Caenorhabditis elegans: one gene and its partners. The protein of the gene in region 2 interacts with the protein of the main gene of each other region in a pairwise test. Each region holds a gene or a part of one and is shown on either strand. Other genes may lie near its edges.

The links.
Region 1: the proteins of unc-16 (region 2) and twnk-1 interact in a two-hybrid assay, tested with the Caenorhabditis elegans proteins (one large-scale study listed by BioGRID).
Region 3: the proteins of unc-16 (region 2) and cap-2 interact in a two-hybrid assay, tested with the Caenorhabditis elegans proteins (one large-scale study listed by BioGRID).
Region 4: the proteins of unc-16 (region 2) and gei-4 interact in a two-hybrid assay, tested with the Caenorhabditis elegans proteins (one large-scale study listed by BioGRID).

The regions. Positions count from the first base shown.
Region 1 is NC_003284.9:5,791,537-5,797,577, reverse strand, and holds twnk-1 (SF4 helicase domain-containing protein), read right to left. Parts: upstream 4,248-6,041; coding exon 4,084-4,247; intron 3,981-4,083; exon of another isoform or gene 3,842-3,980; intron 3,773-3,841; exon of another isoform or gene 3,652-3,772; intron 3,583-3,651; coding exon 3,513-3,582; intron 3,468-3,512; coding exon 3,187-3,467; intron 3,141-3,186; coding exon 2,865-3,140; intron 2,729-2,864; coding exon 2,656-2,728; intron 2,608-2,655; coding exon 2,497-2,607; intron 2,447-2,496; coding exon 2,312-2,446; intron 2,256-2,311; coding exon 2,182-2,255; coding exon of another isoform or gene 2,155-2,181; intron 2,092-2,154; coding exon 2,038-2,091; intron 2,024-2,037; exon of another isoform or gene 1,880-2,023; intron 1,650-1,879; coding exon 1,517-1,649; intron 1,472-1,516; coding exon 1,346-1,471; intron 885-1,345; coding exon 672-884; intron 626-671; coding exon 521-625; downstream 1-520. Other genes in the region: F46G11.4 (Inner membrane protein), read left to right, coding at 1-29, 92-157.
Region 2 is NC_003281.10:9,544,494-9,549,329, forward strand, and holds the start of unc-16 (JNK-interacting protein), read left to right. Parts: upstream 1-1,801; 5' UTR 1,802-1,865; coding exon 1,866-1,931; intron 1,932-2,177; coding exon 2,178-2,306; intron 2,307-2,886; coding exon 2,887-3,166; intron 3,167-3,257; coding exon 3,258-3,438; intron 3,439-3,503; coding exon of another isoform or gene 3,504-3,560; intron 3,561-4,072; coding exon 4,073-4,194; intron 4,195-4,297; coding exon of another isoform or gene 4,298-4,328; intron 4,329-4,678; coding exon 4,679-4,836. Other genes in the region: ZK1098.9 (uncharacterized protein), read left to right, coding at 1-99, 464-585; ZK1098.12 (DUF2975 domain-containing protein), read left to right, coding at 749-781, 832-906, 950-1,051, 1,100-1,228, 1,277-1,375. UniProt on the Caenorhabditis elegans protein: The JNK-interacting protein (JIP) group of scaffold proteins selectively mediates JNK signaling by aggregating specific components of the MAPK cascade to form a functional JNK signaling module.
Region 3 is NC_003280.10:10,867,611-10,871,365, reverse strand, and holds cap-2 (F-actin-capping protein subunit beta), read right to left. Parts: upstream 2,171-3,755; 5' UTR 2,136-2,170; coding exon 2,133-2,135; intron 2,085-2,132; coding exon 1,967-2,084; intron 1,918-1,966; coding exon 1,824-1,917; intron 1,776-1,823; coding exon 1,662-1,775; intron 1,610-1,661; coding exon 1,459-1,609; intron 1,407-1,458; coding exon 1,302-1,406; intron 1,257-1,301; coding exon 1,131-1,256; intron 1,053-1,130; coding exon 951-1,052; 3' UTR 539-950; downstream 1-538. Other genes in the region: cyn-4 (Peptidyl-prolyl cis-trans isomerase 4), read left to right, coding at 1-282, 332-537; gmps-1 (putative GMP synthase [glutamine-hydrolyzing]), read left to right, coding at 2,975-3,028. UniProt on the Caenorhabditis elegans protein: F-actin-capping proteins bind in a Ca(2+)-independent manner to the fast growing ends of actin filaments (barbed end) thereby blocking the exchange of subunits at these ends.
Region 4 is NC_003281.10:343,774-350,037, forward strand, and holds gei-4 (BZIP domain-containing protein), read right to left. Parts: upstream 4,655-6,264; 5' UTR 4,628-4,654; coding exon 4,445-4,627; intron 4,392-4,444; coding exon 4,272-4,391; intron 4,137-4,271; coding exon 4,068-4,136; coding exon of another isoform or gene 3,915-4,067; intron 3,665-3,914; coding exon 3,266-3,664; intron 3,111-3,265; coding exon of another isoform or gene 3,096-3,110; coding exon 2,995-3,095; intron 2,736-2,994; coding exon 2,516-2,735; intron 2,337-2,515; coding exon 2,250-2,336; intron 2,086-2,249; coding exon 1,693-2,085; intron 1,310-1,692; coding exon of another isoform or gene 1,301-1,309; coding exon 1,166-1,300; 3' UTR 533-1,165; downstream 1-532.

The DNA of each region.
Region 1 (6,041 bases), on a different chromosome or scaffold from region 2:
ATGAAACCGTCTGTGATTATGTTCCAATTGTAAGTGCAAGTTGTTAATATTTAAAAGAAAACCTTTAATTTTTTACAAAAAAAAATTACAGCCACAAATTCGGATACTTCCCACATCTGCTCCGCCTCATCCTGCACCTCCACGAAAAAACATGTGACAAATTTTGATTAATTTTTTGTTTTCGATTCTTGATTTCCAATTTCGCTTTCATTCAACATTTTTTTATTCTCATCGTCGAGTAATGAAAAATTTATTTATTTGCAAACTACAGAAGCTTTGTGTTTTCGCGGTAGTGTTTTCGAGATCGGACAAAATAGGGAAAGACGTCAGAATAATATGTGACCTACGGAGGGAGAAGGTGGATGAAATGGGTCAGGAGAAAAGGTATATTTCTTCATCAAGTATCAGCGTAATAGGGAGAAAGGAAAAAGCAGAAAAATATATTTAAAAAATAGAACTGAATAATGACACTCGAAAAACTTGGAGAAATTGTAAAATTAATTTGATTAAGAAGAAAATTTTACTTTGGAAACTCTACAACTGTATGAGAATAGGTGGATGGGTTGAAAACCATCTCAAGTTGATCGCTCTCCACTCGTCGGCCATAGTAGCGGTTTTTCAGAATCTGTAATAGAATCCTGGATGGTCATATCATTCTACTAGAAGCTTACGTATAAGAATTTTCGGAACTTGGAACGGTCACGATCATCACGCTTCCGCTGAATAGCAATGACATTATCAGCTTCCTGGGTGACTCTGGCGGAACCTCCAAAGTGTTGCACATCAATTTCAGTATCACCGTCAGTTTTTCTGGGATGAACAACCATAGTGATGTGAATTTGATTCTGAGTAGCAAGTTGACGCATGTATCCGACAAATCGATCCTGAAAACGAAGGTTCAAGAAGATTTATATGTTTAGAGGAGGACTAAGGGTTTTGGGTTTTTGCATGTACATATATTTTCAAAATATGAACAAATTTTGTAATGATACTCAACAAACTGGTTAATGTTTTTTTGGAGAAGTGTCATAATATTTACGAGGTCCAGAAAAACACCCTCTTGATAGCAGTTGGGCGGTCGATTTTTCAACTTTTTGCCATTTTGCTCCCAATTTTTGGGATATCCGAATACAATTGTTGACACAGAGGTTTTTTGTAATGCTGAATCCGATTCCCATATTATTTTCCTATTAAAAAGTTCCAAAATGCCCTAAACCGCTCAAATGGAAGGGGGGTCCCAGCAATTGGGCGCACTGTAGTTTTTCTCCTACTAAACCAAATGTTCCCATTTCTTGTAATGTTAGTTTATGAACCAAAACTGTAAGTTGATGTAAAAAGAAATAACCTGAAGGTGGAATCTATCAAGGCCACTTGACTTCTCATCTGCCATCATTCCTTGGTTAATCAAAAACTGGAGATTATCGATGACAACATGTTGGATACCACTGTTTTCAACGTGAATACGAATTGCCTAAAATGGTATTTTATGATTCAAACCCTGCTCCACTATTATTACTCTGACTATTTCATTTATGGACTTCTCCATGAACTCTTCGGAGTCAAGCATTGTCAACGCCGAACTCGATCTCTCGAATCTATCCAACCATGAATTTATCGAGTTGCTATACTCTACTCGATGCAGCGGAAGTCTGAACCAGATTGATTGGGAGTTGTGTATGGGCTACGGATGTCTGGGCACAATCAGAATAAGCATGCCAACACTCATCCACATACCCATTTCCGTTTCCTTGAACAAACTACCGTGCAAAAACACACTTTCAAGATAATCGACAATTGCCTCGCGCACCACGAAAAGCACTAGCTAGTAACCAAAATGAGCAGTGAATGAGAAATGAAGATGTTCTACAACTCAAAACTGTGAGGTGGTAAAATAAAATAAATAACAGGTCTAGTTGGCTACTGGTTTCATAAGGAAATTATTGAAATAGTTTTTGATTCACTTATTATATTCAAAAACCAATTTAGAAAAAACAAAAACTATTCCAGATAGATCCTAATACTTCTAAATATTCTTACTTGATGCCATTTTTATATGAGTTAGTGCGCGCGAGGCTTCGAAGATGTGAAGGACTGCAGACAAAAACAAATGTTAGTTAAAAAGTTGCAAGCCATTGAAAAATAAAATAGAATAACAATAGAAAAAACACTAGATCATCATACCCAGCGTATTGCACAAGCATCCAATGGAGGATCTTCTTTTCAGGCATCTCGAAACTGCAGAACAGCGTGCGCACCTAGAATTAAACCAGAGATATTAGAAAAACTCAGCTAATGCTAAAATTTAAAATACCCCTTGAGTAAATAGATCCAATGAGTATTCACATAAAAATGTAGTTTTTCCGTTGCCGGTTCCTCCGGTTAAAACTGTCATCTCCCCTGGCCGAAGCCCGCCAAGATACTTATTCAAAACAGCAAATCGTTTCCACTGAAACAAATTATTTAGACCGAAATTTATCTTTTTTCCTTTCGTCTTACTTGTCCAAATCCAACAACGCGATTTGTCGAGTTGAGAAGGTCTGAACGGATTCCTTCACGCATGTCTAAATCTGTCATTGAACGGAAACCACGCTCTCTCATTCGAACCACCTAAACTATGAAAGTTGAAAAAAAACAAGAACAAAATGGCAACAGTACCGAGTTAGATAGTGAGTTCCGAATGAGCCGATGATCACCATTACGAACCAATTCAATTGGGCGTTCTTCGTTTCTGAACTTACTCTTTTGGTTTTGTTTTCCGAACGTTCTCTATATACTAGGGCTTCCAAGCAGGCTCCGGAACGCCACCTGTCTTACGCCGCAATCCGCGCCTTCCATGATAGTCCTACTGAATACCATAAACTCACTTCACAAGAAGACATTTGAGGGTGTTCAAAGCACTTCCCCAGTCTTTGGCATAACTGACATGCTGAACCGGGAACCACAGATAGATCTTGTCAAATTCCTCCAGATACGGAAGCACGAGTGGATCCAAAATTTCTCCATGTGGTAGAGCAAATACCAGAGCTTTGGTGGCTTCGTAGATCGCCAAAGCATCACGCTCATTTGTGGTAATGACTACACTTCGATCTGACAGAGTTGCCATATGAAGCCCGAAAACTCCATTGAACTTTTGGCGAACGCTGGAAATGGGTAACTATGAAGGAAGACATCGGAATTTCTACTTACGAAGTTTCATCTGGCAGTGGATAGTTCTCCTTTTCCATTCTGTCTCCAACTTTACGGATCAACTTCAAACCCATTGGAATGCGTAGCCGGGAAGTCATTCCACGATACCGTGGAAAAAGAATGGCAGGTTGACCATAGGTGTCGGTTTGGACACGAACGTTGAAACGAGCAAGAGTTTCGAATGAAATGTTCTCAATTCCAAGCATCCCTTGGAGTTGCTTGAAAATAGTGAAATCGTGGCCACTCAGATCAGTTATGTCTAAACTGCTGTCCCAGTAGCGCTGAAAACGGAAAAAGCTTTTTTGGGAGTGAAAAAAAATTCGAACCTTGATATCCGGATCTGGAGGAGCACTCATGGCTTCTGAAGCGTCAAGTCTTGGAGAAGGCGCGTCAGAACTGAAAACGAACCAAATGAATTTATTTATGTTAAATTGAGCTCAGTCAAAAATTATGTTCATATTTCAATTAAAGTTCATATCGAAGATACTCGACTGAAAATGAATCCAAGTGTCAAATTACGTAATAAGACCTTTTGAATACTTTTCAAATATTTCGAGGGGGGCTCAAACGATCTAAAAATATGGCTAAACTAAGATTGGTAACTGCAATTATATCTAAATAATGAACAAAAAGCGAGAGATATGCAACTTACAGCAATAATCCTAATATCAACTCTTTTGCAAAATGTTCAAAAAACTTTTACGATGGAATTTGCTTTTTGAAATCCATCTTATAAGTTAACACCCTCTTTTAGAGCCTTCAAAATTAAGATTCAATTTTGCATTCAATTTTGCTTGAGCTCGGTAAAAACGATTTCATCAATATTCAAAAAAAGCGTATGTGAAATTAAATAAGATTAACATAAGCACAGGATGCAACACTCAACACTTTCTAAACCTGAAATCAAAGTCTGCAATCTGATTCATCGATTCAGACGCTGTCACCGATCTTCCCGTCCGGGGTGCTTTTCTCTGCCGTAGTCGTCTTCCGGTGAAATATTCGTCGTCGCTGTGATCAAATGGAGCTTCGTCGGGGCTTGGCAGAATTGTATAGTCATCCATATCAATCCATGACACTGCTTTAGAGTTCAATGGTGGTAAAAATCCACTACTGGACGAGGATGGTGCTTGATGGAACTGATTTTCTAGAATTCGACGCGATATTATTAGAAGTGGGGGAAAAGCTGAATGAATGGGGTGCCAGGAACTTGAGCAGCCGGAAAAAGTGCCAGAAGTGAAAGGTTCTGATGTTTACAAACCAGTCACGATGGGTACAAAACAGAAAAATGCGCAGGAGAGGCACCCCGCAAACAATAATAGTTCCCCCCACCCTAAAAAATGCTATTGTGCTCGTCCTTTGGCCCCCATTCTTTATGATATTCGACAATTACACAGCTTATTTGGCAGGAGCCCTCACAATTGCTGGCTAGAGACGTTTTGGCAAAAGTTGTTAGATTCGACAAGTCTGCGCGGTGTAAAAATAAAAACATGGTGGCGGAACTAGTAATTCGGGAAAATTTCAGGTGTTTTCCAACAAAAAAACTGCATCCGTTTCCAAATTTTTTAAAAGCATATTAGCACAAGGGAAACGCAAATAGAATGCTTAAAGACATACCGACTGGATACCCATTATCTTCGTCTGAGCTTGAATATAAATACGATTTTTTTGACATCCTAGATACCGGTCGGGACTTTGAGCGATGCATTGTACAGTAATAGATTTGAAAAAACCAGCAAATGAAATAGACAAGTAAGTTGCAACTTGAATCAGAGTTCGGATCGAATCAATTCAAGTGCAAGTGAAATTGACCTCGGGTTAATCGGGGTGGTTCGGAGCAACGGGGCGAGAGAGAAAAAAGGTTGGCGGGGGCACCGACGCCGTACACCTCACTTTTTCGAGCAATAATCCTATGGTTGAGTGAAGGTTTGGTGGAGCAAAAATGCTCTTAAATAGAAAGCTATCTTCGACTTTTTTGTGTGCTGCTTCTCCTCCTCAACCTCCTCGTTCAGACTCGCTTTTATGTTGGGGCAGCGTTAAAGGCTTCCTGGATTTTTGGTGGCTCACTAAATCGAGGTGCCCCAAGTGCTTTCATTGTTTTTCTCCTCTTCTCGTCTTATATATCTTTAGATATTACGAAAAATAAATTTTTTTTGGAACGAAGTGAACCGGTTTACTTTTGTTAGGTTTGGCTATTTTCTGAGGCAACAGTATTTTTTGAAAAAGTATATTCTGGGGGAATACAAATTAAAATTATACTTCCTCACAGTTACAGATTCACATTTTGGAAATTTTCAAACAAAATTTCAAAATCAGAAACTATCAACCAATGAATATAAAAACAGCACAACATCATTAAAAAACGTGAAAACCGAAACTTCCATGAAAACCGAATATGACAACTGCTTGGCACACTATTAAGCAAACAAAAAAGACTTCTTCTCCCGGAAGTCACTTATGTGCATGTTTCTGGAAAACATGACAAAAACTGGACTTACTCATCGCGGAACTTTCCCACTTTCGATGTCTTCTTCCGAGTATCGATTTTGTCCATCAAATTCAAATAGCTCACACGATCGTAGAGATCCGAGTCGAGCTGAAAAAAATTTGAAAAATACAGTACCATTTCTAAGACTTACTTCGTCTTCCATGGTTTTGAGCTGCAGTTTGCTAATGGTTTTTGACAAGGTACCTGGAAAAAATAAAAAAAGATGTTTCAAGGAGATCTAAAATTGGAAAAAAAAACTAGGGAATAGTTGCCAGTTGTCGTCTAAAGACTAAGACAAGAAAATGTCTCATAGGACGGAATGATGGGGGTGGGGTCGAATGGGATAAGAGAAGGAAGCTCAATTACTTGT
Region 2 (4,836 bases):
TAGTTTCGGCTGTCTTCGGAGGTATCGGAATCATCACTACAATCGTGTTCGTGATTCTGACAGTTCTTCATTCAAAAAGTGCGGTTTGTAAACCTGCAGGTTAGTTTTTGTTGCGAAATTGTGCAATTTTTACCCAGAAAGTACGGTTCCCGGTCTCGACGCTACAATTGTTAAATTCTGAAAGGTGTGTGCCTTTAAAGTGTACTGTACTTCGAATTTTTAGACTTTTATTAGTTTTTCGATATTTAAATATTTATTTATTTATCTGAAACTATGAAAAATCGATGCAAATTCCATAACAACGAAAATCTGAAATTACAGTACTCTTTAAAGGCGCACACCTCTTTGGATCTATCAAAAACTTTGCCGTATCGAGACCGGGTATCGTATTAGCATGACGAAAATCGCAAAATTATCTGGATAATATAGTAATGCTGAAGAATAAAAATTTGCACATTTTCAGGCAAAGAAGACATGAAAAAACTGAACGGTATCGAAGGAATGCAAACGATCAAAGAAGAATGTGGAGGATCAACTGAAACATCCTCGTCGAAACCGAAGAAAAAAGCCAAGAAAGAAGTCTGATTTTTTTTTTTTGAATAAATTTTAAATTTCTTCGTGAAGACCTTTTCTACGTTCTTTTAATTTATAAAATAGACAACACTTTTAACTTGATTTCCTACTCATTTCGTTAAATTCAAATCTAGCAAAAGGGTTATACGGTTACAAATCTTTGTAAAGTAGAAATATGCTTTTGAACAAACTCATTGTGGCAAATATTGTGAGTTTCTAGTTTTCAGCAGATTATTTGGGAATCTTCTTGGTTTTCAGATGATTAGTGTGACTGTTCTACTCCAGGGAACTATTCCAATGGGGTACGTATCTGGACTCGCGTCATTTTGGATGGTAAATTCTCATCTTAAAGACGTTCCTAACTCTACGTTTTCAGCTCTCAGCAGGTAGCGTTTTCCTCGTACTCGCAGTCATCACATTCATCGCTCTGTTGTTTTTGAGTCGATCTAAATGCATGTTGGCAATGAGCCAAAGAAAAGTAATTCCTAGTTTTAGAAAGTTATTTTACATTCTACAAAAATTTCAGTTGGCCATCTATCATGCTCCAGCACCAGTCACATCGTTGCTTTCGCTCATCTTCTTCATCGTGTACACATTCAGTGCCAAAGCTCCCCACGAGCATACAGCAATTAAAAACTGCATTGTGCTTCTGGATGTAAATTATATTAATCGACATGATTTTCTCTTTAATCCAACAATTCAGGTCGGAGTGGGAATTGTTCTGATGATTTCTCTGGTGCAAGTGCTTCTAGCGTTCCTGAGCCACCCGGAATATCCTGAGGAAGATAATGATGAACGTTGATTTATTTCGTAATAAACTGATTCTTTCGTATTTGTTTTTTCATTGTTTTAACACATGTTGTCACACTAAATTCGTGGTTTTGACGCAAAAATAGCCTAAGAAACACATAATTTTGATAGAGTTTATATAAAAATTCGTAATAGCGGCGCAAATTGAAATTCTATTCATGCAAAACTTCTAATGAAGTGTTTTTATTCTGAATTCAATAGAAAAATAAATTCTGAAGCGCAAAACGGCAAAACCCACTCGACATGCGTGTAGTGCGTGACGCACAAAACGCTCCTCTTCCGCCAATTACCGTATTCTCTCATCCACGAGATTCACACATGCGCCCAGCCTTCTTTTATTGATTTTCTGTCGCCGCGGCGAAGGAGTGGCACTTTATTTACATAGCTTTTTTCATTGCAAAGCACAAAAGCAACATAATTTGTAGAATTGTCTCGTCAACTTGCTCTCACATGGACCAATAATCGACAGAACGACTGAAAAAATGGCTTGCAATTTGTCACCGGTGAATGAGATGGCAGACTCAATTACGAGCAGCACACCGTCTGAGGTAAGTGGTGGCAAATGAACCATTGTTGCAACCGAGTGGCAGCAGCAGCGTCTCCCGATAGTTATCTCGGTTCTCTTATCGTCGCCCCCTACTACTATTCCTCGGCCAGTAAATACCGTTATGTTTCTCTTCCGCACTTCTCTCTTCATTATTGATTGTCGCTAGACACAACAAAACAGTTGGGACGGGTAATAGGAGGATTTTTTTATGCTGCATTCGATATTGATGGGAGAAATGTTATCTCAGATTGTGTACGGCGGCCCCGGCTCACCAGATGAGCATCGAACAATGTCGGATAAAGTGCAGACAATGGCTTCGGCAATTTATCGAGAGTTGGAAACAATGATAAAAGTTCACGGAGAAGATGGCGTGAAAGTGAGTTTTTTCGGAATTTTACTTTAAAATTTATTTAAATGGCTGTTTTCGCAAAAAATGTCCCAAAACAACCGGATTTCATAATAAGACTGATGGTTTTGAAAAAAAAAACGCTTTCTTTCTTCTGAAATCTTCAATTTTGCCAACTTTTCCGTGTCGCAACGGCCGGAAATGAATTTTTATTGAGCATCATTTCGATCTTGCTTATTTTTAGTTGCCTATCGCTTCAAATGTACCAAACTCAACGAAGTAACACGAGATAAACGACAAAATAAGCGAAAATCGAATGAAAATAAATTTCCGACCGCTGTGGCACGGAAAAATATGCAAAATTGTAGATTTTAGCTCATAGTTAAATATTTTTCAAAACATAGAATCGTCATAATTAATTGAAGAACTTTTAAATGATATTTTTACGAAATTCGGACTTTTTAGACCATTTTTTGATCAGAAATTGAAATTCTATGTTTTTACTCTACTTCAATACTAAATTCAGTATGTTAAACCAGTCAGCAGGTAAATTTATGCTAATTTTCTTCTCTCTTTCTCTATTATCATTCAATAAACTAAACATTTTCAGACTCTGATGCCATTGGTTGTAAATGTGCTCGAAGCATTGGATCTTGCCTATTTGGAACGTGACGAGCAGACTGCAGAACTTGAAATGCTCAAAGAGGACAATGAACAGCTTCAGACACAATATGAACGTGAAAAAGCACTTCGAAAGCAGACAGAACAGAAATATATTGAAATAGAAGACACGTTGATTGGTCAGAATAAAGAGTTGGACAAAAAGATAGAGTCACTTGAATCAATAATGAGGATGCTCGAGTTGAAAGCCAAAAATGCCACTGATCACGGTTAGTTTGTTACAGTTAGTTAATTGTCACCTCAATTATTAACTCTTGTGTTTTTCTTGGATAAATTTTTAAAAAAAGTATTATTTTTCAGCCAGTCGTCTGGAAGAACGTGAAGTGGAACAAAAGCTCGAATTCGATCGTCTCCACGAACGATATAATACTCTATTACGAACCCATGTAGATCACATGGAACGTACAAAATATCTAATGGGAAGTGAAAAATTCGAATTAATGCAGAATATGCCATTGCCAAATATGCAACTTCGAAACAAGTAAGTTTAATTTAATTAAATTTAAAAAAGTGATTAATATTTGACTGTTGTGTCGTTGTTTGTAGTTGGTTTCCAATATCACATCGCTTACATAAGAGTGGTGATCAAAGTAATTTGTCATTGTGAGTTTTGTGTCTGGAATTTTTGTTATTTTTCGGGAAGGTTTTTTTATTTTTCAAATTTTTGATTTTTTTTCGATTTGGTTATCCTCCACTTCACTCCAAATTTTGAAGCGCATGAAGAAATAAAAATCACCAATTTTTTTGAATTTATTTTATTTTCTTGATTTTCCAAATTTTTTATCACTGCTCTAAATGTCAGAAAAGAGATCATAATTACTGTTTAAAAAAATTTTCTAAATTTTTATGTTTTCTCCAATTTTGCAAAAAATGCGATATTTGTTGTTAAATTCCCGCAAACGATATAGATCTTTGAAAATGCTTCAATTATATTTATTGTTTAAAAAAATTGTATAAATTCGCTCATTACGATATACAATTTAAAGCAAAATTCCCAATTTTATCATTTTCCAAAAAGAATTTTGTTAGGCAAACACTTCTTCCACCTTTAATAACTTGGTTCGGTCCCCTAAAATCAAAATTTTAATTTTTAAAAGATATTATTTAAATTACAGAATGGGCATGGCTGCTTCTGTGGATGCATCATCAATTCGTGGAGTATCTGATCTTATTTCTGCTCATATGACACAATCAACCACGATGGATGTTAATCTTGCAAATCACATCACAAACGAAGGTGAGTTTTTTACGCGACCCTTCACAAATATGTAAAAATACAAAAAATTCTATATATCGCAAAATTTAGTTTATTTATTTATTTCCGATAATTTTTAACTAACATGAACTCGAATCCTCAACTAACCTTTATTGGTATGCCAGTTTTCTTCCGATTTCCATGCTGCAAAGGTGCGGCACGGGTTTTCGCAACCGCCGCGCGTTTTTTTAAAACTTTTTTTAACAGGAAATTTCCAACGGATTTTTTTCTGTAAATTCACTTATTTTCCAACTGCATTGGTTTATTGCTCAATTTTTAGACCTTTTTGGCTTAAATAAACCAGTTCAGTTGGAAAGAAATTTTAAATTTCCCATTAAAAAACCATTTTTAATTGTATTCCGTACGATGTTTCCTGTTGAAAAGTGAAAAAAAACCCGCTCCGCACCTTTTCTCAATGGAAATTGCAACCCTCATTCTTTTAAATCTTAAAATACTAATTTTCCAGACTGGCAAGACGAATTCTCATCAGATATCGAACCATCACCCAGGGATATTCCACAATCATCTGCTGATGCGTTGACTTCACCAATTACAACCAAAGAGCCGACTCCTAAACGAGAAGCTGCTTCACCGAAACAATCAGAAGAGGAAGAAGCTGACGAG
Region 3 (3,755 bases), on a different chromosome or scaffold from region 2:
CTCGAGGTGTGCTCTCGATGGCTAATAAGGGCTCTAACACCAACGGATCACAATTCTTCATTACATTCCGGCCGTGCAAGTATTTGGACAGAAAGCACACAATTTTTGGGAGACTTGTTGGAGGACAGGATACACTAACGACGATTGAAAAGTTGGAAACTGAAGAGGGAACTGATGTTCCGATGGTTTCAGTTGTTATTATGAGAGCTGAAGTATTTGTGGATCCATTTGAAGAAGCTGAGAAAGAAGTTCAAGCTGAGAGAGCAGAGATTTTGAAGAAAAGTTTCTTAATTCTATTACTAATTTTAAAACTAATGATATCTATTTTCAGCTTCTAAGGACGCAGCTTCATTAGCAAATAAAAAAGCTAAAGAAACTGCAACAAAACCAGAAGCAGTTGGAACTGGAGTCGGCAAGTACATGAAGTCGGCCGCAGCTGTGAATAAACGACAAGGAAAAATGGAAGATGTACCCTTGGAGGCCGCAAAGAAAACTAAATTTGCAAGAGCAGGCCTTGGAGATTTCTCAAAGTGGTGATGAAGACCCTCTCTTTTTTTTTAAATTTAAGGAATAAAATACTTTCATCGAAAATATAATTGAAATGAAAAGTAATCTTAAAGAGGATAATTTACATTGCAAAATACAAAACAGTCGAACGAGCACCTAGAACGAAAATGGTCCAGGAAAAGCTCAAGCTCTTCTCGGAAGGAACATCAAGGCATTTTGGTAATAAATTGTGGAAAAGCCATAGCACATACACTTTGGAGCGAGGAGAAATTGTGGGAAAAGAGATTTTAATAATTCTAGAAAAAAAGTTTACACTCGAGAAAAGGCAATGAAAAAAGGTTTTAAAAGAAGAAACAAGCTGGTATTATGGTAGATAAATATACAAAACTCGCAAATAAAGCATTAAAATGAGAGATTTTGAGCTGCAAATGTAGATAGATCACTCAGTTTCCGCGGTTAGCCATGGCGTTGTTCAACTCGCGAACGATCTCATCTTGCTTCTCGAGCTCACTCTGCTTCTCTGTTGAACGGAGATCCGACATCACCTGGAAAATATTTTTTTCGAAAATTGTACTTTTTAAAAATGAAACTTTTTTCATATAATAAATTTGCATTTTGCTTACCTTCTTCGTCTTTCCAAAGTATATCTCATTGATCGTCAGACGCATTTTCGACTCCTGATCCTCAATCATTCGTCCCATATTAGCCAAGTGTGTGTTCTGATCGTTGATTGGTGCATCCATCTCATGCTATAATATTTCTTTTTAAATATATTCACAACTCGAAACCAAAACCTGTCTTGTAAGGGAGCCACCGAGGTTCATCACACCGCTGGAGCTTTTGTTTGTCTGCAGCCACAGCATGATAGTGGAGGTGAGCTTGTAGTGAGCCTGGCGTGCCTGGAAAATTATAAATTAAAAAAAAAAACTCTTCAACAGTTTTTGAACCAACTCTTTCCGTGATCTCAATAACGTGAATAGAATCCCAACATCCTGTTATATTTTTGGCTCCGTCTCCCTCTTTCTTGATGAGCACAATTCCGGCGAAACCTCCATTATCCAAGTCCCAGAAGTAAACTGATGAGACGCCTCCCTCGAAGTATCTGGAAATTATTATTATTTATGAGCAAATATATGATTTTTCTGTCAACTTACAAATCACGGTATGACTCAAAAGCGGCATTTGCCTCGATTTCCATTTTTCTGCGCTTTTCCGATGGCAATTGTCCATCCTCGAGTGGTGGATCATAGGTATTACTCCATGGTGATCTGAATTATCAGAAAAAATCGATAGATTTCAAATAAAATGACTCATACCTGTAGCTATCGCCATCTCGATTGTAGTCACAAAGCAAATACTGTTTGCCGGTCTCACGGTCCGCGGCGATTTTCAGCGGTTGATCGATAGTGCCTAAAACCATCAAGCGAATTTTTTTAAATTAGTTAAAAAGGAAACATACTGAGAAGATCATCAACAAGATGAGGGCACAGATCGATGAGGTCCGTCAAATTCTTGTCGCAGTGTTGTGGAGGAAGTCTTCGCATCAAGTCGAGGGCACAATCGAGCTGTTGTTCTCCCTGGTAAATATTTATTATAAATTGTTTTTAAAATATTTATTAAAATACCATTTTTGATAGTTTCGAGCCGGATGTGGGTGTGCTCCCTGAAACAATAAACTTTTATGTCAGATTTTAAGTCGTTACAACCTATTAAAAACATAAAAAGACTCTAAACGATTGGGTAATGATTTTTTAGTTCACAAATAAGATTAAATTTCGCAAAAATATATTTTAAAAGCCATTAGAAAGCAGGAAAGTTGCGAAACGGAGCGACCACTTCATTGATTTTACACTCCGTTTCTCTCACTCTCTCGTCCCTCCACCGTACCCATAGTCACTCTCGTCGGCAAATCGCGGCGAGACCCGCGAGCTTTTGGCGTTTCGCCAGAGTTCTTCAAATTTTTGTTTTTTTCTTCGAGCTTTTAAATTTAAGTTTTTTCCGTCAATTTTTATGTTAATAAACCGAAAAAATTAATTTTAAATTAATTGACATGAAATTTTCATCGCAAGTTTATCCGTGTTCTGTACATTCTCATCGCTTCATCTCCGAGAAAACACCGAATCCACTAAATTTTGTTATTTCAGTAATTGCAGCCAAAACGAGTCAAAATTGGAGCGCGTCAGAGTAAACGTCACTGCCGCAACCTTCCATCTGAAGTGAGTATTTAAATGTGAAAATTTTGAAAAACTGGGTGAAAATTCGCGCACATTTCTGTAAATTGGCTCCCGATTTGGTTTTCAACGTTAAAAAACGAAAAAAAGCATTTTCAACGTTTAAACGTGCGTTTTAAGGAGGTTTTCATTATAAATTGCCAAAAAATTCCACTTTCCATTGACTTCAAATCATTATAACCTAGCTTCAGCGTGCAAAAAGAACAAAGGCCGTCTCGAAAGTCAGTGAGCATACTATGAAAAGATCGAGTTCAATGTTGGACATCAACGAGGACAGTCAACATTCCACGGTCAGAACTTGTACTTTTCTTTTGATCTTGCCGCTTTGCTAATGGATTTCTTTTTTGAATTTTCGTTGAATTTAATTATTTTATCGCTGCAAAGGGCTTTTACAATTTTCCCTGAAATCGTCACTATAAAAGAAAAGAAATAATTGCAATTTTATTGCATTCTCCGCAACTACATTCTGTTTTTTCCGACTCCAAATAGTTCAAAGTTCTCTAGAATCACAATATCTTCCTCTGAAGACAAAAGATCAGTTGTCACTAAAGCCACATGCCGACTTTTCTGTTCAAGGGGGGTTCCACCATATGTTTCGGCGCTCAAATTACATGTTTTTTCGCGAAAAAAAGCTAATTTTCCTGTAACCTGAAGGGTTTTCTTTTTAAATAAATAAAAATGTTCACGTTAATCCAGTGATATATCGAAACTAGGTGACCTAATTGACGTGGAGTTCAGATTATACCGGCTTTTCTAGAACTTTCTATCTGATTTTCAGGATTACTGCGCCGTTTCTTGATAGTTTTCGTCTAAAAACCGAGTATATTTTAATATTTGTTGGCAGTTTTTGTCTTATTTATCACAATTTTCAGTGAGAATTCCTTGGTTTTTCTCATGGGATAAGCGTTTTTCACTGGAAAATATATTTTCTTGGTAGAAAATTCTCCTCGACGAAATCGTAGTTATATTCTCCCAGCCGAACACTAAAATGCTGGAAAACTAGGAAACTAGGGTCTA
Region 4 (6,264 bases), 9.2 Mb from region 2:
CGGAAAATGCACGTTATCAATGGAGCGCGCTTGCCCACTGCCACTTTTTTATGGATTTTCCCCAGTTGTCATGAGAATTTTCATATTTTCGGGGTATTTGATAAACAAAATACGTATTTTCTGAAAATAAAAGCTAATTATAAACTCTCGAGAGACCCCGAGTGTAAGGTGCAATTATCGGGATGGAAAATTGAGGGATTTCCTCTCTTCCCAGTGCGAACAGCAAGAAAATTATTATTTTCCGCAAGAAATAGAATTTCGTATTAAATATTTACAACTGAATGCTCTTTTCATGGTTTATTGAGCTTTTTAATTGGATTTCTGGAGAAAATTGGTTGCCAAATATTTAGCAGACCCAACTTTGGTCTGCTAAATAATTTTTCTTGGGTCTGCTAAATATTTAGCAGACCCAATTTGGCTTGCCACGTGGCAAATATCGATTTTTTTCTATTACAATTTTTGTAAAAGAAAGTAGATAAACGCTGAAAAAAACACGCTAAAAAAAGGAATTTTCAAATCGGAAACTCAGGAATAAACTTCAATTTTTATTCTAATTAATCGTCAATATTCAAATTCGACGAAAATTTTCAGATTACCAAATATTTGGAAATTTGGAGAGGATTTTGTGTGGGAGAGGGATGGGGATAGAGTATAAGAATTTCGAGACGCAGGGTGAATATTTTCTTTAAAACAAGAAATGGGGGAAAAAAAGGATAATGTAAAAATAACATGGATTTTCAGGTAGTTCTAGATGGGGGTGGGTTTAAGGCAGATTTCACGGTAGCGCAGGGTTTGTTCGGATATTTGAGAGGAGGTTCTTGAGAATGAGAATATCTGGAAATTATTGGTAATGGGGGTTTCAGAAAAATGAAACAAAAAATTGGGTCACAGTGAAAATTAGAAATGGAAAGTTGAATAAAACGTTAAAAAATTAACAATTAAGAGGAAGAAAACTTATTTTTTGGGGCTTTTTTTGCAAACTTTTTTCAATTTTTAGTGGTTTTTTTTGTTGAATTTTTTGATTAAAAAAAGATAAAAAACTACGCGATTTTCAGTAAATAATACAGATGCAATTTTCAGAGGAAAGAAAAACAATGGACAAAGAAGAAGAAAAAAGAACAGAAAGAGAAGATTTGAAAAAAAAAGAACAGGAATTATTATATTATTAGGTTCTATAAGGATTGTTCAATATTTGTTGAGACTGTCCCTGCTGCTGCTGCTGGCCTTGTTGCTGTTGTCCCTGATTTTGGATAATCATGCCAGAAGTGTAGATGTTCTGAGGAATCGATTGGGACGACTGCTGAAAATCCTAAAGTTTGATTAGTTGGATGATTCTAGAATTGGGGAGATTTGAGTAAAAATCAATTTTTTTTTTGAAATTTGGGTCTGCTAAATATTTAGCATACCAACTTTGGGTCTGCTAAATATTTAGCAGACCAACTTTGGGTCTGCTAAATATTTAGCATACCCACTTTGGGTCTGCTAAATATTTAGCATACCCACTTTGGGTCTGCTAAATATTTAGCATACCCACTTTGGGTCTGCTAAATATTTAGCATACCAACTTCGGGCCTGCTAAATATTTAGCATACCAACTTTGGGTCTGCTAAATAGTTAGCATACCCAACCTCGAGTTTTATAGCAAAATTCCGCTCAAAAACTCATTTTTTCCTAGTTTTCATCGATATTCACCTGGTGTGACACCTGAATCTGCTGCTGTTGCATGTGTCCTTGATGGAGCACCTGGTGCTGTCCAATCCCATTGTTTCCCTGATTTCCAACCAACTGTTGGTGCTGTTGCTGACCATTCGAGATTATATAGGCCTGTGGCGGTGGTGTAACCGAGCGTGGCGTTCCCGACGACTGATTCGCGCGTTGTCGGAGAAGGATCTGCTGAGCGTGCTGTGTGCGCTTGACGACGTCACGTTCCAACGAGGAGAGAGCGTCCATATCGTCCTTTTTGGCGGGGGTGCCGGTGCCCATTGTGATGGTTCCAGAGGATCCGACGGCCATCTGTCCGGCGCTGATCATGTCGTCCATCTCGTTGCGACGACGCTTTGGAGTGTAGCGTTTTTGATTGTACGACTGAAAAATTAAAAATTAAAATGTTTTTTTTTTTTTTGAAATTTTGTTTTTCGAAAACACACATGCGCAAAGCCTACACACAACAAGCATTCTCATTCTCAATTTCAGTATCCAAAATTCAAAAAAAAGAAGAAGAAAAATAAAAGAAAAAAGGTTTCACTAACGTCTCCGAGATCGAGATCATGGTCGATTTGCGTGTCAGATTGCTCATGAGAGGGCCAAGACTCTTCTTTCGGTTCTTGTTTCGCGACCTACAACAAAATTTAGGAGTCTGAGATCTCGGAGAGTTGGGGAAGAAACCCGGGGTTTTTTTTTGGATTCGCTAGCGCAAATTTTCAAATTTTTCGTGCTCAAAAATAACTAAAAGTCATCGCAAGACCCTCTCTGTCTCTCGTTGGTGATTGATTAGTTGTAGCAAAAATATATTCACCTTTCTCTGATCAGGCGTCATTCGCTGGTAGCGAAGACGTGCCGCTTCGGCTCGTTTCGCGTTTCGGACCACAATCTGCTGAGCACGATCCAGTGCTTCTCCGTTGATACGGCCTATAGGCATGGCGAGCAGCATCTCTTCTTCCATACGACGGCGGCGGAACGCTTCTGTCCTTCGTTGATTGTAGACGCGCTTCTCGTCATCGTTCATTCGATGGTATCTGGAAATTTGGAGGTTTTTTGATCGAAAATGTGTGGAAACTCAGGTGAATTTCGCAATTGTTGGGTCTGCTAAATATTTAGCAGACCAAAGATGGGTATGCTAAATATTTAGCAGACCCAAATAAATATTTAGCAGACCAAAGTTGGGTATGCTAAATATTTAGCAGACCCATTCTGAATATTTAGCAGACCCAAGTTTGGTATGGTAAATATTTAGCAGACCCAAGCTATTCTGATTCCCCCGAATCTCTTCCTTACCGTTGACGAGCCGCCTCCGCTTTTTTCGCATTCTGCGTCTTGATGTGCAACCGGACAGCCTCGTCGTCCTTCTGTGGATCTCCTGTAGCCATTCCACATGCCTGAAACTCCGATTTCTGGAATGTTACGTCACGGTAGCAGCGGAAAAATTACAAATTTTGTGTGTTAGGGAGGAGAGATTTTACCAAAAATAGATTTTCACCCAATTAAATTTTCCTCTTCTCCGCTAATTTTCCAGATTTTCTGCTAGAATTCAATGTTCTATATTCACCTTAATCGCGCTCATCGCGTTCTGCATCTGCCGCATACGTCTCCGCGTATTGTGCGCCCGGCGCTCTTCCGGCGTCATTCTAGCGTAACGTGTACGGGCGGCCTCTGCCCACTTGGCCCGCATTCTCTTCTCTCTGAGCTGTTCGGTGATGTCCGGATCCTCTTGAATGTCATTTGTCTCCCGCAAAATCGATTCGAGCTCCTCCATCTCCTTCTCACGTTGCCGTTTTCGCTTCTGCGCCAACGTTCTTTTCAGGTTTAACTCTCGTTTCTCTTCGTTTGATAGTCGGTGATAACGCATTCGGGCGGCTTCTGCCTGTCGCGCCTTCTTTACTCGATCCTTCTCGCCTTTGTCGGGTGACGAGGAGAGTTTAACATTCATTCCTTCTACTTGTAGGTCCTGAAATGTTTCTGAGGTGTGCTCGGTGAGTTCGCTGCGTGATTTCATTCAATTCGTGTTTTCAGTGTGTTGAAACTTAAAATTCGCATTAAAACTCGAGAAATGGACAAATTCTGCTCGATTTCGCATCTTGGGTCTGCTAAATATTTAGCATACCCAACTTGGGCCTGCTAAATATTTAGCATACCCACCTTTGGTCTGCTAATTATTTAGCAGACCATAGTTGCAAAACTAAGCAAGTTCCAGTAACTTATCGACTTTTTGAGCAAATTTTTTGAAAAATCCGCTCAAATGCGAAAATCCACGCGGATTTCGAGCTGCAAAATTCAAAATTCCTTGAAAAAATCACTGAATAACACGAAATTCTCCCCAAAAAAAAACAAAGAAAAAACAACGAATTTACCACATCTCCTACTTTCAACTGAGGTATTTGTTGATTGTATGATCCAACTGATTGTTGTATTGAAGACATCTATAAAATAAATCACGATTCACAAACACAACCACAATTACGATAGAATTTACGGTAAAAAATGAGGAAAATCGAGATTTTTCGAGATTTCCGCCATTTTTTTAAGCCAAATCGCACGATTTTTACGATTTTTACCTGAACTGGCTGCTGATTATTCCACGACGTTGATGTTGAAGGTGTCGTACTGTCGATAAAATAAGCGTCAAGCATATTAACTAAACTCTTCTCTTCTCCCATCCGCCGCTGAGGTGTTTGCTGAAATTAAATAAAATTGAACATTTTCACTCGATTTCCTGAAAATCCCCTACCGTCACTGAATTAGGTATAAAAGTTGCGGAATTAGAGGAATGAAAATTGTTCGCATTTGAATTTGAATACGTCGTCGGCTGATAGGAGTTCTGTTGAAATTGCGATATTCCGTGTAGCTGCTGATTTTGATTACCGCCCGAGCGGGGATCCGAACTGTATGTGTATTGTATATTCTGCTGCATTTTTTATTATTTTTTGTGTTTCCGAGCCTGAAAAAATTGGAATTTTAGGTTTTTAAGCTAGTTTCCGATGAGAATTGCGATTTAATAAGGATATAATTGTGCTGGAAACAATTTTAATCACTTGAAAAATTAATTTTTTGAAGAAAAACCAAGGAAAACCAGGAAAACCAAAGAAAAATAAGAAATTAAATGGAGAAAGTGAGAAAAATAGAGAAGCAGATAAGTTTCGAATTCAAATTTGCCGGAGTGTCACTGGAGCGCACTTGCCTCCTTCTCAATTTTTCGAATTTCATAAGACTAGAATAATGAAAACACTGCTTAAAATGACTGGAACAAAAGAAGAATACATGAATTTTGATTGAAAAATTGAAAAATAAAATTGAAAACAACGTATCTCACTGCAAAAGCTTAAAAAATTCTTATTATAGTCCCAGCATGTACTAATTTCGACGGAATTGCGCCAAATTTTCACTGATCCACGTGGAATTTTCTGAATTTTACTGAAAATGCAAAAATCTTAGTTTCTTTTCGTGTTGGAGCTGTGTGCACAGGTGCCCAGGTGCACTGCTTGAACATGGTGGCCGTGAAAGAGAAAACTCGGTCAGTCCCTCTAAATCCTGCGGAAAAGGTCCTGCTGATCCACTTTTAAGCTAGTTTCAGCAAATCCAGAGGTATTTTGGGTTCCAGAGGCAGAGTTAGCATTCTAGAAGAGCAATGAATTTTGGTGGCCGACCTTTTATATCCGCGGTCCCCACGAAAAAGTCTCAGAGTGTCTCATTTCGGTTTGATCTGCGTAGATCTACAAAAAATGCCGGAGTTGAGGCGCAGAGTTCTCAACTGATTTTGCATGGTTAAGAACTTGCTGACGTCACATTTTTATGGGCCAAAAATTTCCGCATTTTTTTGTAGATCAAACCATAGTAGGACAGCCTGACACCACGAGGGCCCCGTATCCAAGTACCTGAGCCTAAAGCCTAATGTAATGGTTCTAATACCGTCTTCCAATTCCTATCGCTGTGGGTTCTCTGAAAATCCCTCCGAATTTTCCCATTTCACGGCCAAGGCATCAAATCCAACCTGTACCTCTCCGTTTCAAGTCGATTTTTAGAATTCAAATTTGTCCTCTTCGCGCCTAAACCGCCCATGCTCTTCCCATCATCACTGTTAACCACACTATTTTGTTGCCTGCCTGCCTTCTGTCTCTGCGCTCCCAAAATCAGCGGAAAAGAGTGTGTGATGGCGGATGGATGCGGTTGGGGATGGTAAGAAGAAGAAGAAGTGTAGGGAGATGAAGGGAACAAGACGGGGGGCAAAAAGTAGTAGTAGTAGAAGAGGAAGAAGACTAAGAGAAAACGAAACATATACACAAAAGAAGAGGACGATTTGGGGCGCATAGGACGAGAGGGAGGAGAGATTGGAGACGGGCGGGGCATTGTGTACGAGGGGAGGCCGACCGCGACGCGGAGACGCGTTGCACACTCGCATACACAATGCGCGCTGCGGAGAGTCCAAACATCACTAGACACTGTGCCGAGTGGCGGAGATCACGAGACACCCGGCACGAGAGAGCGCGCCCGTCGTGGAGTGTGTGTGCTTAGAGGCCGTGACGACAGCGTATCGATTGTGGAGAGTGCGTG